Saccharomyces cerevisiae S288C: one gene and its partner. The protein of the gene in region 1 binds, or shares a complex with, the protein of each later gene. Each region holds a gene or a part of one and is shown on either strand. Other genes may lie near its edges. The genes, in order: CDC24 and BEM1. A codon is read from its position in the direction of its gene.

The links.
Region 2: the proteins of CDC24 (region 1) and BEM1 are in contact, whole or in part, in an NMR structure (PDB 2KFK), measured with the Saccharomyces cerevisiae proteins. Residues at the interface, in NP_009359.1 of Saccharomyces cerevisiae: Lys817, Tyr818, Asp820, Glu821, Asp822, Asp824, Phe825, Val826, Val827, Gly829, Ser830, Glu832, Asp833, Asn835, Val836, Glu839, Met840; in NP_009759.3 of Saccharomyces cerevisiae: Thr478 (codon at 2,995), Lys480 (codon at 3,001), Lys482 (codon at 3,007), Tyr484 (codon at 3,013), Asp488 (codon at 3,025), Ile489 (codon at 3,028), Phe490 (codon at 3,031), Ala491 (codon at 3,034), Leu492 (codon at 3,037), Met493 (codon at 3,040), Lys506 (codon at 3,079), Pro509 (codon at 3,088), Arg510 (codon at 3,091), Lys543 (codon at 3,190), Lys545 (codon at 3,196).

The regions. Positions count from the first base shown.
Region 1 is NC_001133.9:60,604-64,532, reverse strand, and holds the start of CDC24 (Rho family guanine nucleotide exchange factor CDC24), read right to left. Parts: upstream 1,694-3,929; coding exon 1-1,693. Other genes in the region: retrograde cargo receptor ERV46, read right to left, coding at 1,970-3,217; RNA-processing protein PTA1, read left to right, coding at 3,481-3,929. UniProt on the Saccharomyces cerevisiae protein: Promotes the exchange of CDC42-bound GDP by GTP. Controls the polarity of calmodulin, and the calcium regulatory process of bud emergence. CDC24 may be involved in the initial selection and organization of the budding site.
Region 2 is NC_001134.8:619,309-623,237, forward strand, and holds BEM1 (phosphatidylinositol-3-phosphate-binding protein BEM1), read left to right. Parts: upstream 1-1,563; coding exon 1,564-3,219; downstream 3,220-3,929. Other genes in the region: KTR4 (putative mannosyltransferase), read left to right, coding at 1-995; YBR200W-A (uncharacterized protein), read left to right, coding at 3,675-3,839.

The DNA of each region.
Region 1 (3,929 bases):
TATTGCTATGCCTCTTATGGTAACTGTGGTGAGGGCTGCCATTGTTGTCCGTTATGTTCGAGGCGGAGATTGATGCTGAGGTTGAGGATTTCTTCTTAAGGATTAGTGATGATGCAGATTTCTTAGTCACTACCTCTGAAAAAAGGATGATGATTTTTTCAAAAAGATAAACCTCAAATTCTCTTTCAGGTTCCGAGGAGCTATTTGTTGTTGAAATGAACACTTTATCGAAATATAATAACTCACCGAACTTGGAAATTCTATAACCCTTCCAGTTGACCACTCTACCATAAAGTTTCTTCACCACTTGATGATTTTCTGTTCTTCTTTGATTTTCGTTGATACTTCTCGCAATATTTTTAGAAATATCTAAAGCAGCTTCAAGTTCTTTCGTATTATTATCGTCACTCGATTCAGCAAGCAATTCTTTGACCAACAGGGGATATCTACAAAGCCTTTGCACGGGTTTATAAAGGAAGGATTGCAATTCCAGTTTATTGTTAATTATGAACCGCTGCGATTCATCAACCCTCATCTTGTGCAAAGTTGAAGAGAGAAATTCGATGGCTGCATTTTGGCCAATAGACCAAGGCTCATACAACTTAAAAAAATGTTTGGAATGCATGAAAAGAGCCCCGATTCTTTGCTTGGAAGGTTCTACTAAAGCATTTATTTCCAAGGATATTAGAAATCTTCTTTGAAAATCTATAGCATCACCCAAATTAGGGAACAACATGTACAACTCTTCAGACGTTATTAGATTGCTGTCTAATAACTGCTGTCTATATTTATCCAAAATTTCCAAATCGTGAACATATTTTCTTTCCGTTGCAACGAATTCCTTGATAATTTTAACATACTCGTTATGCTTCTTCGAAGACTGCTGAGGCTGATGTCGGTGTTGGTTTTCTGCGTTCATGATTTGCTGTGTCTTACTCTTAGAGGGGAAAATAGTAGGGCTGGAATTCATTAGCGTTTCTACTACTTCTAGCACTTTGACCAGCTGGGAAGTAGAGTTGGCAAAAACGTCGGATATAGTGAAAAGCTCCTCATCGTTAAATGCAAAGTGTTTCTTGCAGCCCAATATAAAGTCATAAATGGATTTTTTACAGACTTTCAAATCGTCAGATGCTATTACCGGTAATTTAAATTGCGGCTTCACAGAGTTGAAAAGTATACAGAGGGGCGCACCTTGTTGAAACAGCTGTGATAGTTGTGTCACAGGGTCGCAATCCATGGTAATGGGCAAAATACCCATACTAAAAGTCAGTAAAGTGTCCTCCATATTTGGGGTGGCCGAGGGATTCGAATTCGTGTATGATATACCTTCCATCGACATGAGACTGGTAGCTGTGGAGATAGAGCTAGACCTTAAAGTTGGTGCCAAGTCGCTACTGTCCCGGTTAGCGCCATTGGACTTGAGCAGTTCCTGATGCTGCTTTTGGGATAGCAAAAGAGATTGCCTTTCACTCAAAACCTCGCTCGATTGGTAGGCCAATTGTAAAAAAGGTTTGAGTTGAGGTAACACCTCCAGTCTTTTCCGGATGTTTGCGCATATATGGAACAGTGAGTCCTGTTCCGTGACAGGCTTGTTCATGACATTTTGCATGGGTATGGAGATGGAAGTTGCACTTGGTTTTGGTTTCAAATCGGATAAAGATGTGCCCGAGGCAAAACGGGTTTGGATCGCCATGATCTCTCGGGTTGGATTAGCAGACAGGTCTTGATAGGGCTAGGCAACAAATGATAACAGCAATGGTACTCTTCTGCTATCCTACCATAGCCACATTCTTGTTCTGTTTCTACCTTAAAGCTTCTGTTTTCCACTTCTTCCCACCAGTGCGTCGTTCTTCGCGATTATCGTACAATATGATATTTGTACAAGTAGTGATATACCAATTTCTATACTATATATATATATTATGTAGTAGTATGTAGAAAGGGCTCTTCCCTATGACAGTCTCTTCCTCTACTGGCTCTTCTTGCCCCAGATCGATCTCTGTGCTTTGTAGAATAGCTTGTCCATGACAGTGCCCACAGCTAGGACACCACCAATGCTGGTGATACAATTCAAGATGAAGCCCGACCAAGTCTGCCCGTGCTGTTCCTTATTGATGACTTTCAATGGAGACATTTCGAAAAAGACGAACATACCAGGGATACCACCCCTAACGTGAAGTGTGTTTGGATGATCCTTGTCCCTTCCACCGGCAAGAGGTCGGGAATGAAAAGTGGCGCTGAACTGCGCGGTCTCAATGACAACATTATCCAAGTACTCATATCTGGTGGGGACAATCTTGGCAAAATACGAGAACTGGTGAAAGTGTGTGTTCCTGTCCGGGAACACCTGGCGTCCGTCCAAGGGAGAAGTGGCAACTACGGCGCCGCCGTGGCGCTTATCGTTTCCTAACAACTTACTGTGGGACTGGATCGGCTTCCCAAAGCTCAAATGATTGATGATGTGGTTGAAGTTCAAATTCGAAGTCTTGTCGTACAAAGAAGTATCATGAAAATGTCCATATGCATTCTGGTAGGGTTTTCCAGGGGCAAAGTGAAGATTCCCCTGAATTCTGTTAATTTGTGCAGAACCTTTGATCCTGCAGCCTTCATTCAAGTGCTCGTTAATCTTGCTGACATAGCCCTCTCTTTCACACTGCTCGATATTCTTCCCGTCGAAAAAAGCCCAGCCTGCCTCCAAGTATGCTGATCTCACTGCATCACAGTCTTGGCAGCAAACCTTCTCTTCCTGTGCTAGATTCTCATTCTGCGACTGATCTTTGGCACCGTAACATGGCCCACAATAGTTAGGATCGTTATTAACCGGCGCGGTTCCGTCGCCGTTCCCACCCACATGCAACTCAGTAGCATCTCCCACGGGGCGACCCTCGCTATTCAACCTAGACATCGTGAACCCTGCGTCAAGAATGTCTAGTTGCATCTCTCCAGAGTCGTCCATAATATCGAGATTCACCAGGTCACATGGCATCGATGGAAATGTCACATCCATATTAAGCTCCAGCTTTGCGTGTCGGTCACGGTCCACCACCAATTGTGGCCTTGTTACCACAGAATTGAACTGTCCCCACTCGTTCACCAGCAGAAATAACGTGGTCAAGATGCACGATAAAGTGATCAGCCCGCCGGCCCTGGTGCGGACTCGTACGTCCTCTTCGGTCTTAGCGAATGCGTCCAGCGACAGCAACGTGGACCTTTTCATGATGTCTATTGTGTCTAGCTATGTGTGTTATATCACTGTCCTACTCCGCATGTATACGAGACATAAAACTAGCTTTCCTTTATAATGGCGTGGTTTCCACTCCATCTTGATGGAAAATCGCCGTTCTGATGTTCAAGTCGTATATAGTGACTTGATCTAAAAGTGAAAAGTTGCCATATTTCGATACCTTTTAACCGTTAGTACTTGACTGAACAAATGGTTAAATCGTGGCAAGAAGCATATAACTACCACTAAGCAGCGCAATGTCATCTGCAGAGATGGAACAATTGTTACAGGCCAAGACACTGGCCATGCACAACAATCCAACGGAGATGCTGCCCAAGGTGCTCGAAACTACGGCATCCATGTACCACAACGGTAATCTCAGCAAGCTGAAGTTGCCTTTGGCCAAGTTTTTTACACAGTTAGTTCTAGACGTGGTGTCGATGGACTCTCCAATTGCGAATACTGAGAGACCGTTTATTGCTGCTCAATATCTGCCACTACTTCTTGCTATGGCGCAATCCACCGCGGACGTACTAGTGTACAAGAATATCGTGCTTATTATGTGCGCTTCATACCCGCTGGTGTTGGATCTGGTTGCTAAGACATCAAACCAGGAAATGTTTGATCAGTTGTGTATGCTGAAGAAGTTCGTGCTCTCGCACTGGAGAACTGCATATCCTTTGCGTGCCACCGTTGACGATGAAAC
Region 2 (3,929 bases), on another chromosome or scaffold:
AAGGAACTATTTTGAGTTTGGTGAGAAATTCTGATTTAGAGGATATAATTTCTTCTATTCAACAGCTAGAAGAGGAGTACAATAAGAATTTTGGATATCCCTATACCTTCCTTAACGATGAGGAATTTACTGACGAATTCAAAGATGGAATAAAAAGTATTCTTCCTAAGGACCGTGTAGTAGAATTTGGCACTATTGGTCCAGATAACTGGAATATGCCTGATAGCATAGATAGGGAGAGATACGACCAAGAAATGGACAAAATGAGTAAAGAGAACATTCAGTATGCAGAGGTGGAATCCTATCATAACATGTGTCGTTTCTATTCTAAAGAATTTTACCATCATCCTCTGCTATCTAAATATAAATATGTGTGGAGATTAGAGCCAAACGTGAATTTCTATTGCAAAATTAACTATGACGTTTTCCAATTTATGAACAAGAATGACAAGATTTATGGGTTTGTTTTGAACCTCTATGATAGTCCGCAAACCATCGAAACGCTATGGACTTCAACTATGGATTTTGTCGAGGAACACCCAAACTATTTGAACGTCAACGGAGCCTTCGCATGGCTAAAAGATAACTCTCAAAATCCAAAAAATTATGATTATACTCAAGGGTATTCAACTTGTCATTTCTGGACCAATTTTGAAATAGTCGATTTAGACTTTTTGAGGTCAGAACCTTATGAAAAATATATGCAATATCTTGAAGAAAAGGGAGGATTCTACTATGAAAGGTGGGGTGATGCCCCTGTAAGAAGTTTGGCACTTGCTTTATTTGCGGATAAGTCAAGCATCCATTGGTTCAGGGATATAGGTTATCACCATACTCCGTACACGAACTGTCCAACTTGTCCAGCAGATTCAGATAGGTGTAATGGAAATTGTGTACCAGGCAAATTCACTCCTTGGAGTGATCTAGACAACCAAAATTGCCAGGCAACCTGGATAAGACACTCTATGTCTGAGGAAGAGTTAGAAATGTATTGAAGACATTAGCTTTGAGAATTTGTGCCGCTGCTTTCGAGAACGGCATCACATCTGGGGTTTTATGATTTAATTTAGGACGCACATAGATAGATATATATTATGGAATTAAGAAAAGTTTATAATGTAGCAACCTAAAAATGTTACAGGTGAACATTCATGGAAAATGAAATGTTTCTCAGCCAGTAGATAGTATTGTTGAAGGTATTATTGGTTTGAGAAAGCTACTCCTCAAAAATGTCACTTGATAATATGGAATTATAATGTCGTTATATTTTCAATCATTTCAATACAATATGGTAAACCGAAATCCAAAAACTTTACAATATCTCTTATCTATTGTTATTCGACATTCTTCCCGGGCCTTAACGGCTTCTTAACTAATATTACCCTAAACGGACAAATGGCGAAGGGCCCCATTCATTTACGAACAGGAAAAAAAGAAAGTGACAATACAGCCATAATTTGATGTACCATCTTAATCAGCATATGTTTTCACTAATATACTAAACCCATATGGATGCACGTTGAAAGCACTGTGTGAAAAGAAATTGTCAAGAAAGCCATATAAATGCTGAAAAACTTCAAACTCTCAAAAAGAGATAGTAATGGGTCGAAGGGCAGAATTACATCCGCAGATATTTCCACACCTTCTCATGATAATGGGAGTGTTATAAAGCATATTAAGACAGTACCAGTGAGGTACCTTTCTTCATCTTCCACCCCAGTGAAAAGCCAACGGGACTCTTCACCAAAAAACAGACATAATTCTAAAGATATTACTTCTCCAGAGAAAGTTATAAAAGCCAAATACAGTTATCAGGCACAAACTTCAAAGGAACTATCTTTCATGGAAGGTGAATTTTTTTATGTATCTGGAGATGAGAAGGATTGGTATAAAGCTTCAAATCCTTCTACTGGAAAAGAGGGTGTTGTCCCCAAAACCTATTTTGAAGTGTTTGATAGAACTAAACCTTCCTCTGTGAATGGATCCAATAGTTCAAGTCGGAAGGTTACAAATGATTCATTAAACATGGGATCGTTATACGCCATTGTTTTATATGACTTTAAGGCAGAAAAAGCTGATGAGTTGACAACTTATGTGGGAGAGAATTTGTTTATTTGCGCCCACCATAACTGTGAATGGTTCATTGCTAAGCCAATTGGTCGACTTGGAGGGCCCGGCCTTGTTCCTGTTGGGTTTGTTAGCATCATAGATATTGCCACGGGGTACGCAACAGGTAACGACGTAATAGAAGACATCAAGTCAGTTAACCTACCAACTGTTCAAGAATGGAAAAGCAACATTGCAAGATACAAAGCTAGTAATATTAGCCTTGGTTCTGTGGAGCAGCAGCAGCAGCAATCCATTACAAAACCTCAGAACAAAAGCGCAAAGCTGGTTGACGGTGAATTATTAGTGAAAGCATCCGTTGAATCCTTTGGGTTAGAAGATGAGAAGTATTGGTTTTTGGTTTGCTGTGAATTATCTAACGGTAAGACGAGGCAACTGAAAAGATACTATCAAGATTTCTACGATCTGCAGGTTCAACTTTTGGATGCGTTCCCAGCAGAGGCCGGTAAGTTGAGGGATGCAGGTGGACAATGGTCCAAACGTATAATGCCCTATATCCCTGGACCCGTTCCATACGTTACCAATAGCATAACAAAAAAAAGAAAGGAGGACTTGAATATATATGTGGCAGACCTAGTGAATCTTCCCGATTATATATCTCGCTCAGAAATGGTGCATTCCTTATTCGTTGTTTTGAATAATGGTTTCGACAGAGAATTTGAAAGAGACGAAAATCAAAACAATATTAAAACATTACAAGAAAACGATACAGCAACCTTTGCAACAGCATCTCAAACTTCTAATTTTGCCTCAACTAACCAAGACAACACTTTAACTGGCGAAGACTTGAAGTTAAACAAGAAACTCTCAGATTTATCTTTATCGGGCTCCAAGCAGGCTCCAGCCCAATCAACTTCTGGATTGAAAACTACTAAAATTAAATTTTATTACAAAGACGATATTTTTGCTTTAATGCTGAAGGGTGACACAACCTATAAAGAACTTCGTAGTAAAATCGCTCCAAGGATTGATACAGATAATTTTAAATTACAAACCAAATTATTTGATGGTAGCGGGGAGGAAATTAAGACTGATTCACAAGTCAGTAACATAATCCAAGCCAAACTGAAAATTTCCGTTCACGATATTTGAATCTAGTGTTAGAAGACGAAGCATTTTTCTTCTTTACTTGGCAGATGCACATAGGTTGAACATTTTAATCAACTTTATGATGATTTGCGAGAGTAATAAGATTCTCCCGAACAGTAATAATATTAAGGTATCCAATTCTTCCGAAACAGCGTGATTTGTAATAAAAATAAATAAGGACATATATGTATATAGAAAGTTGCTTAAACTTTTTAGACCACTTGGAAATATTTTTTATTTATATTTTTCTTCAAATGTAAAGTTGGGTACCTAAGCTTAAATTCACCTGAAAATGAATTATATGAAAGATTTTACACCACATGTAAAAAAAAACGTACAAAAAGCCAAATATTTCCACTCAATCATAATGCATGAATTATAGGTATTTTAAGTTATATTGCTGACGTAAAATTCAGAAGAGACTACAAGAAAAATTCTGAACATATTTATTCTTAAATATGCTTTTGTGCTTCCATATGTGTCAAAGGATAATGTGGCTCCCTTTCGATTTAATGAAGTGGCGTAGATTTCATTGTGGCGCTGTTCTTGTTGGAACACTGAGCTTACGTAACCGCAGCCCAAAGATACTTTCTCTTTATTTTATTAGCGATAGGACAGGCTAAAATGATAATCACTATTAATCAAGCAGAAAGTAATTGAAATTATTGTAAATCGAAATACCTGTAATGTAGCAAAACTTTTCGTGGTTGTTA